Linked DNA regions of Canis lupus familiaris. Each later gene encodes a partner of the first gene's protein in a complex. Links are inferred from orthologs where the notes say so. Each region holds a gene or a part of one and is shown in the gene's direction. Other genes may lie near its edges. The genes, in order: TCN2 and CD320.

The links.
Region 2: the proteins of TCN2 (region 1) and CD320 are in contact, whole or in part, in a crystal structure (PDB 7QBF), measured with the Homo sapiens proteins. The link is inferred for Canis lupus familiaris from reciprocal best matches to the Homo sapiens genes TCN2 and CD320. Residues at the interface, in NP_000346.2 of Homo sapiens: Asp70, Leu71, His74, Lys77, Leu78, Gln81, Gln82, Glu91, Asp92, Arg120, Gly121, His122, Lys123, Asp125, Arg126, Val128, Ser129, Lys132, Trp133, Glu136, Arg140, Lys169, Arg170, His172; in NP_057663.1 of Homo sapiens: Thr57, Lys58, Leu66, Cys67, Val68, Pro69, Trp72, Asp75, Arg76, Asp77, Leu78, Asp79, Leu133, Glu136, Cys145, Ile146, Pro147, Thr149, Trp150, Asp153, Gly154, His155, Pro156, Asp157, Cys158, Pro159.

Annotation. Positions count from the first base shown.
Region 1 is NC_049247.1:24,112,264-24,116,064, forward strand, and holds part of TCN2 (transcobalamin-2), read left to right. Parts: intron 1-807; coding exon 808-973; intron 974-3,602; coding exon 3,603-3,718; intron 3,719-3,801. UniProt on the Homo sapiens protein: Primary vitamin B12-binding and transport protein. Delivers cobalamin to cells.
Region 2 is NC_049241.1:53,295,015-53,299,588, reverse strand, and holds the start of CD320 (CD320 antigen), read left to right. Parts: upstream 1-1,660; 5' UTR 1,661-1,678; coding exon 1,679-1,805; intron 1,806-2,277; exon of another isoform or gene 2,278-2,720; coding exon of another isoform or gene 2,721-2,811; intron 2,812-4,256; coding exon 4,257-4,370; intron 4,371-4,574. UniProt on the Homo sapiens protein: Receptor for transcobalamin saturated with cobalamin (TCbl). Plays an important role in cobalamin uptake. Plasma membrane protein that is expressed on follicular dendritic cells (FDC) and mediates interaction with germinal center B cells.

The DNA of each region.
Region 1 (3,801 bases):
TGCAGAGTGCTCCCTGAAGTCTGAATGTCCCAGGGAAGGGAGATGGCTTAGTCTTGATTTGCTGAGTCCACAGGTGTTTGTGGGTGCACATGGGACACACCTGCAGCTAAGATGTAGACATAGCTTCCAGAAAGTCATAGTGTGGGGAAAGAGATACCAAAATAGAGAGCTCTGGGTGGGCCATGAATCTGCAGCCCCTCATGTAATACCCCATGCAGAAATGTTTGAATGAGTAAATGGGGAGAGACACATTTTGGATAGTCCTGATACATCATAATGAGTTCCAATTAGCAGCTTGAATCAGGGCTTCATCTGGGAGAGGGACTTGAGTTGGTGAGTAGGATTTGCTGGAGGATAAGAGCAATAGCAAGGGCAGAACAGAGAGGGGGCGGTAGGAACAAAGGTGCCAAGGTATAGAAGACTGACATTTGGGGAAAAGGTCTTCCTAGAAACTGGGATATGGAAGAATGAGATGGAGTTGCAGGCAGGAGAATGAAAAGAAGGGGAGACCCTCTGTGGTAATGGTGTGTGTGGGGTGATATGAACAGATGCATGTTCAAGAAAGATACCTTGGGCTGCTCTGTGGCAGATAGGTGGTAAGGGGGATACTGGAGTCAGAAAAACCAGGGAGGGGCCCAAGCTTGGGCAACCTTGGCACATGAGGGCAAAGGGACAGGGGAGGCTGGGCTGGTGGCTGGGGGTGGTGCTGGCTGGGATGGACCACAGTGTCCTCGAGGGAAGAAAGGATGACTAGCACCTGGCTCCCTGCCCTCACACTAGCTACCCCTTCCTCTCTCTCTGGCATAGTCCTATTGCAACCAGCCATGGAGAATCCTTCACAGACCCGAGAGGTCATCAGCGTCATGCTGAAGGTCCCCAGTGTCTTGCCACCATACAGACACTCCATCTCTGTCCCTGCTGGGTCCTCCTTGGAAGATGTCTTTAAGAAGGCCCAGGAGCTCGGAGGATTCACGTAAGACCCCTACCTCTTGGTCCTCACCCCACCGGACCCCACATCCCTGAAACAGAACATGGATGGGATGGGGATGGAAGAAGAGGTTCCCCAGTAGAGGTGCTGGCCCAGGCTCTGTTGTCTTCACTCCTTTTTCTTTTCTTTTTTTTTTAAGATTTTATTTATTTATTCATGAGAGACACAGAGAGAGGCAGAGACATAGGCAGAGGGAGAAGCAGGCTCCCTACATGGAGCCTGATATGGGACTCAATCCCAGGACCCTGGGATCACAGCCTGAGCCAAAGGCAGATGCTCAACCATTGAGCTACCCAGGCATCCCCACCTTCTCTATTCCTGAATGGCCCACACTGTAGTGGAAACGGGCTGCTGTGGGCCAGCATTGTCGGTGGCTCTGAGAACATGCTCTGGGGGCAGAGCATCCACATTGGAATCCCAGCTCCACTACTCCCCAGCCAGGTACCCAGAGCTAGTTATTTACCTGCAGCCCAGTGAGAACACCAGCTGTGCCCTGCTCCTCACAGGGCCCATGCAAGGAGTCTAGGAATTAGCACACAAAGAGGACATGGCATATGTGGGAAGTGGCACCTGCACTTAGTTAGCTCAATACAGGCTAGCTTTCAAAAGAATAAGAATTTTTATTATCAGGCAATCTTGGCCTCATTCCTGTGACGAATTACCTTGGGCAAGTCCTCTGTAGAATGTAGAGGTTGGACAACATCCTTAAACTTACTTCTCACTCTGACAAGATTCGACAAGTCTGGGGCTGAGGATTTCTAGAGCATTGCTCTATGCCCAGCCATGTCCATGCTTAAATAACATGGGTGGAATTCTTGTGTTACCAATGGGGAATCTGAACCAGAGGAGTTGAGTGCTTCCACGGGATCACCCAGACTCCAGACTTCTCTTCTAGAAAGCTGGGCCTCAGTTTGAGAGGGCCTCAGTTTCTGTTCCCCACCTGGAGTTCCCAAAGGACAAAGAGGGTCCATAGCTGGTGTCTTGAAATTGTCTGGGCCAGGGAATTTTGGGCCAGAGATACACAAAAACCCCTTTAAAGAACAAAAATTCTCCCAGACCTAGGTTATTTCTGTTATACTATGACTTAGATGTATATTATTATGGTTACCATTAAAAGTCCCTTTTCTTTCTGGCTCCAAACATCTGTAAATCCTAAACAACTTTGCAAATTAGATATAAAGTGTAAAAAGAGTAACATTTAAATAAGGACTATTTGCTGAGGAGCCAGGTGTACATGGCCAGGCATGGGATGGGGTGAGCCCGATGCTCTCAGCTGCTGAGGCCTGAGCTACTGTCAAGCCTGAGTTTGTCCAGGTGACTGTGGCTTCTTAGGCCCTTCCCTGGCCCCGAACACTCCATTCACTACTGAGCCCACCTCAGTTCTCTTCCCAGTAGTCTGCAGTGCATACAACACAGTCCCAGATGGCCACACACACTGAGCAACTTGGCAGGCCCAGTCTAGCAGGCATTGAGAGTATGCAGAACCTGCTGGCATTCATGTCTGAATCATGTCCTCAAAATGAAGAAAAATGGAACTTAACATTCTAATGCAGAAGTCCAGGATCTCTGAGAAGACATCAGGGAAACAATTTTGTCAGTGGGGGTGGGTGCCTGAACTGGGTGCAGAGGCCAGACAGGAAGGTTGTATTTAGGGGCCTATAAATGAACGGCAGAGAAAGGTAGACTGCAGAGAGATCCAGAGAGAAAGAGAGGGGAGAGAAAGAGAGAGAGAGAGAGAGAAATAGAAACAGACGTACTCTAAGCAGCCACATGGACCCACAGAGTTAGAGAATGACAGGACAACAGGGGCTACTCTATGACAACCCCCTCTCCCCCGAACACTTTCCCTTTGACGAAGTGACCCTGAGTGGTTTTCTGTCTCCTAAAACGATAGAAACTTTCCCTCCCTAAGACAGAACCATTGATAAGCCTTTTGGAGGGAGGAAGAACATGACTCATGGACTTTTAAGAGGACCCTTTTGGCAGCAGTGTCCATGTGATTTGGAGAAATGCACAGTTGGAGACAAGGAGCTCAGGGAGGGGGTGTTGTAAATAAGGAGTCTCTTGGCCACAGTGGCCAGAAACCTAACTCTAACCCTCTTTGGTAATGGGGAGCATGGGGTGTGTAGAATCAGAGAGAAGATTAAGCCACCCAGCCATAAGAGAAGGGGAATGCCACTGAGCCCAGATTCTTCCAGAACCAGAGACCCAGTGCCACCACCATATCTCCGTCTTACACATCCCTGCTTCTCTGCATGCTGGTTTCACCCTCTCTCATTGGACATTGGCATCTTAATGTGGTTCTGGCAGCTTCTGCTCCTCACCCCACAATGTCAGCTCCCAGAGAGGGGGCAGCTGCTGAGCCAGTAATGTAATAAGCGTCCCTTCCTAAGCCATGGTCCTGGTCAGTGAGGAGGGGTAAAGTCTCCTGAATGGGCAGTGTCGGGGGGAGTAGAGGAGGGGTAGAGGTGAGGCCCATGGCCTGGAAAGGATTTGGTGAGCTCTGGCCCTGAGGGACAGGCCAGGGCTTTCCTGGTGGGGGTAGTTCTGTTTCTGCCCTCAGGTCAGTGGAAGCAAAAGTCACCCCTTCTTCCTCTGCCTCTCCCTTTGGTAGGTATGGAACGCAGAACACCTTGTCGGGCCCCTACCTGACTTCCGTGATGGGGAAAGAAGTTGGGGAACGTGAGTTCTGGCAGCTCCTCCGAGCCCCTGACACCCCGCTCCTAGAAGGTAAGTCTGGTGGCCACCCACCTCTGGACATCTCCCCTGACCAGCCTGGTTGCTGTGAGGCTTCCCCAGCTCACCTCGGCTTT
Region 2 (4,574 bases), on another chromosome or scaffold:
TCAGTGGGGAAAACCCTGGGTTGAAGCTTCCGGGCCAGGCTTTCTGGAGGAGTTGCGACTCTAGTTGGAGCAAAGGATGAGTCAGATTCAGAAAGGAGATAGGGAGGGAAAGGAAGTCTGTGCAGGGTGTCCTGAGGTCACCAGGAAGGCAGCCCTGAGGGCTTCCACAGATGCAGACAAGATATGCCATTGAAGGTTTCTGAATAATTTTAAGACCCAGACTTGAAATTTCACAAGGGAAAGAGGTCTGACAGCTGAGCTTTTCTGTGTGCTATGCCCTGTTCTGAATGCTTTCAGGATCTCTGCTCCTTGGTGGAGCAATCCTGTGAGGTCATTGGTGTTGCCACAACCTTGGGACAGAACAGGAATGGGAGCACTGGAAACCCTCGCCAGCTCCCCGAAATCTGGTGTGAACCTGGCTGCTGATGACTCTGCCTAACTACTACAAATCAATGGCTTCTTCAACTTTTCTCCCTGCACCTCAGAGACCTTTGAGCCTCAAAGATGGGATGCTCCCCACCCATGCATGCCGGGTCCTGTTTGTCACCTTTCCATCTGCCTCTGCACCTGTACACCTTTACCTCTTACCCATTTCCCCTGGGAATCTGGGAGATTCTGAAACAACAGCAATAAAACCCAACACACACACAATATATACACACTCAAAAAGCAGGTGTAACTTTCAACATTTTCAAATCGCGAAACATGCCAACAATCTGCAAACAGAGCCCCTTGTGGGAAAAATCTGGATGCTGTAGCGTTGCTACCTGGGAAACGGGGTGATAGATCCTTGCGCGCCTGTCAACACTAAGGAACCAACACGCCTGGGGTTGTGCTGGCCGACAGACCGGTTGCTTCTTCTGAAGGCAGAGCTATAGATAAATACTTAGTCTCAAGAAAACAGAGCAGCTGATTGGACAGAAAGCCTGCGGGACATGTGTAATTTACGTGCCTACTGCTTGAGCACGCGAAGGGAAAGCCCACAGGGGACCTTTGCTACCTTGAGAAGAATCCTATCCCGGTGAGGAGGACTAAATGGGGCAGTGGGCGGGGGTGAGCGCCTCCAGGTGCGAGGGACAGGACCTTGATGGAAGCCCGGGAGGTCTGGACGTGTCTCGTTCGTTCATTCCCTAAATGTTTAAGAGCCTACTACTGTGGCAGACGCTGTGCTTAGGCACGGGGGATGCAACGAACACCACAGCATTGCGGTCCTGCAGCGGACGCTCTAGTGGGTCATCGAGACCCTAAATCAAAGTTAGCGAAGCGGAGAGCCCCGGGGCATTGGAGAAGCTGGAGGCGGGAGAGGCTGGGGCGTGCCTGAGGGGAGTGGGCGCCGTATTAAATATGACGATTCGACGAGCGCACTTGCTGCGGGACGCATGCGACACATCCGATGTTGTACGTAGACACCGACCAGTTCGCTTACGTCCCCATAGTCCCTACCTTCAAATGGGCCCAACACCTTTCGATGTTCCCGGTCCCCGGAGAAAGCGGGTAGAGCCTGAAATTGCGGGTCCCCTCGTATTCGGACGTTTACGGTACCCTTGGCCGCGGGCGCCGCCGCTCCTCGGGGCTGGGGCTCCGCCCCGGCCGCAGCGCGCGTGCGCGGGGGCATAAAAGCGAGGCCCCGGGCGCGTGGTCCGAGCCCTGGCGGGGGCGGCGCGGCGGCGGCGGAGGCATGGCGCGGGGCGGAGTGCGGCGGCCCGCGGCCCTGGGCCTGGCGCTGCGGCTGCTGCTCGGCTTCGGGCTGGGCCTGGAGGCCGCCCCGACGCCGGTCCCGCTCCGGCTCCTGGCCCAGGCCCCGGGTGAGTGAGCTCCGGCGCCCCGCGCGCCCCTCGGGCGGCCGCGCCCCGCCCCGCGCCGGCGGCCCTCGCCATTGGCTGTGCGGCCGGGCCGTCCCGGACACTCCCCCGGCACGTGGCCCGGGGCTCGCGCGTGCGGGGCGCCTGGTGGGGACCCGGGCGCCGCGGGGTGCCGCTTGCGCCTGCCGGCCCCGCGCCGCGGCTCAGCTTTGCGGGCGCCCTTCCCCCGGCGCGGGCGGGAGGCGCGTGGTGGGCTCCCGGCGTCCGACCTCTAGCTGCAGGGCCGGCCGCCCGGCGCCTCCGGCAGCAGCTGCCTCCCGAGCCCTCGCTCGCCCCGGACCCGGTACGGCCCAGTGTTCTGGGCGACCAGCCCCCGCCCTCCCCGTCTCCGCGCCTCCGCGCCTCCGCGCCTCCCTCCGCTGGCCTCGGAGGATGAAAGGCTTCCCTCGCTCCCGGGGACTCCGCCCTTGGGCACCTGCCCCTGGGCCTAATGATCTTGGAGGCCCGCTCCGGGGTTCCCAGAGGCAGCCGGGCGGGGTAGAGCGACCTCTGTAGGCACAGGTGACCCGGGCTCTCAGCTCTGAGCTCAGGTTCACTCACTTGCCCCTTTCCTGCATGATGCCGCCTTACCTGGGCTCCTGCCTCACCCCTTGCACCTCCGCAGGCTGAATGTTCCTGGGCCCTTTAAGGAGGCAGGACTCACTAACCAAGGACCAGAGTCTACAAGTGGGCTCTGTCCTCAGGACACTGAGGGAGGGACTCTTGGTGTGCTCCTCGTACGGGGGAGGGAACTGAGGCTGGGAGGGAAAGGCACTGGTCGCTTCAGCTCCTGTCTGACCCCCCAGCCCTGTGAGGCCTGGTCTGCTGTGCTCTGCTCCCACTTTCAGGAAGAGCGTACACTCCAGGGAGGGAGGTGTGATGTTGGCAGGGCCGGGAGTGGCTAGGCCTGGAGAGGAAGCTGCGCCCAGACCGCCAGACCCCCGCGGGCAGGGAAGGAAGCCAGATCCAGGTTGGCCGCAGCTCTTCCTGGCTTCAAAAGCTCAGGGACCGTGTGGGCCACAGGTCTCATTGAGCCTAGAGGCCCATGGAGGGTGCTGGCTGTGGGGAGAAGGGGGTTTGGAGCCTCAGGCCTCTGAGTAAAGGTGGAGGTGGCAAGAGGACCAGGATGGAATGGAGGGCCACTAGGTTGGGTCCAGGCCACGTGCCCCCCCCTCCCCGCCCCCAGGAGGAGAGCCTTAAAAGCCATTCCTTCCCTCTGTCCATCAGACTCCCTCCTGCCAGCCCAGGTTCTAGGCCCTTCTGTGCTCCTCCCCATCAGCATGTAGCCTAAACCTCATCTCCTGGGGTCCAGGAAGGCTCAGATCTCATCAGGACACAGCCTGGACCCTTGTGTGACTTGTGTCTGTACCACCCTGGGCTTGGGGTCACGAGGTCCCAGCCCTGATCGCGCAGTGTCCGGTCTGTGTGGATACCAGTTTGAGGAGCGTTGTTGTAAGTGGAAGGTGGAGCTTTAGGCGTCTCTGAGAGGTGCATGAGACCCCTTCCGAGAAGAAAGCTGAGATCTGAAAACTGAGGAGGAATCACCAGTTGCAGAGTGAGGGGAGGAGGGAGCACTGGGCCAAGGACCAGCTCAGGCAAAGGCCCTGGGGCAGAAACAAGCCAAGCCTCTTGGAGAACAGTGGGGAGGCCAGGACAGAGGGATCCGGATGAAGAGGAAGAAGGAGGGAGGAGGTGAGGTCGCGGAAGGGTTTGCCACAGGGCTGGGCCAGGCCTTGTGGCCACATAGACAAAGTAGGGATTTGGTATGAGAGGCTCAGGGGACCAGGGCAGGATTCTGAGCAGAGGGGAGGCAAGGGCCAGTGACTGAATGATGTGACTCTGAGGCTGGAGATGGGGGTGGGGCCTGGTGAGGAGGTGGCACATTCAGGATGGGGACAGTGGTCGGATCTGGGAGGAGTTTAGGAAGTGAGTGGACAAGCCTTGGTAACTCAGCAGGTCCGCTGCCCGGAGCCTCAGTTTCCCCTTGGCGAAGCAGGTGGGTTATAGTGGGCCCAGCTGACCCTCACCATGGACCCCGTCCAGGGCAGTTTCAGAGATGGCCCCTACCCCAGTCTGTCTAACCGCCGATCTTGGGGAGACCATCCAGGCTGGAGCCGGGTAAAAACTCCAGGATCAGTGAGACCTGGGTTCCAAACGAAGCTGCCACCAGCTCCACAGCCCTGGGCCTTGCCTCCCTCCTCGGTGGCTTCTGCAGCATGGGGATGGCAGTTGCACCTGCCCTCCAAGCCTCCAGCGCAGTAGGTCCTCAGCAAATTGGTGGCCACCAGTGTCGATCCAGCGCCCTGGGACCCGGCCTGCCTCTGGTGGTGGTCGGTGGTGGTCGGTGGTCGCAGTCTGTTGGCACTGTGCCCCTGGGGGGAGGGGGCCCGGATCTCACTCTTGTGCATCTTGCAGGCTCGTGCCCACCTGCCAGCTTCCAGTGCCGCACCAGTGGCTTCTGTGTGCCCCTCACCCTGCGCTGCGACGGTGACGAGGACTGCCCCGACGGCAGCGATGAGGATGAGTGCAGTGAGTGGCCGAGCACCTGGGGCCGTGGGGAGGCTGAGTGTGTGGGGAGGAGTGTAGCTTGGGGGTGGGGTGGGGATAGTGGGGCGGGGCCTGAGGGTGGGCAGGGTTTACAGGGTGTCAGGTGTGAGAAGAGGTGGGTTTACTGGGAACCCACTGAGTGGGGCCTTGGGATGAGGGGCTTGCAGCGAGGCCAGTCCGTGGAAG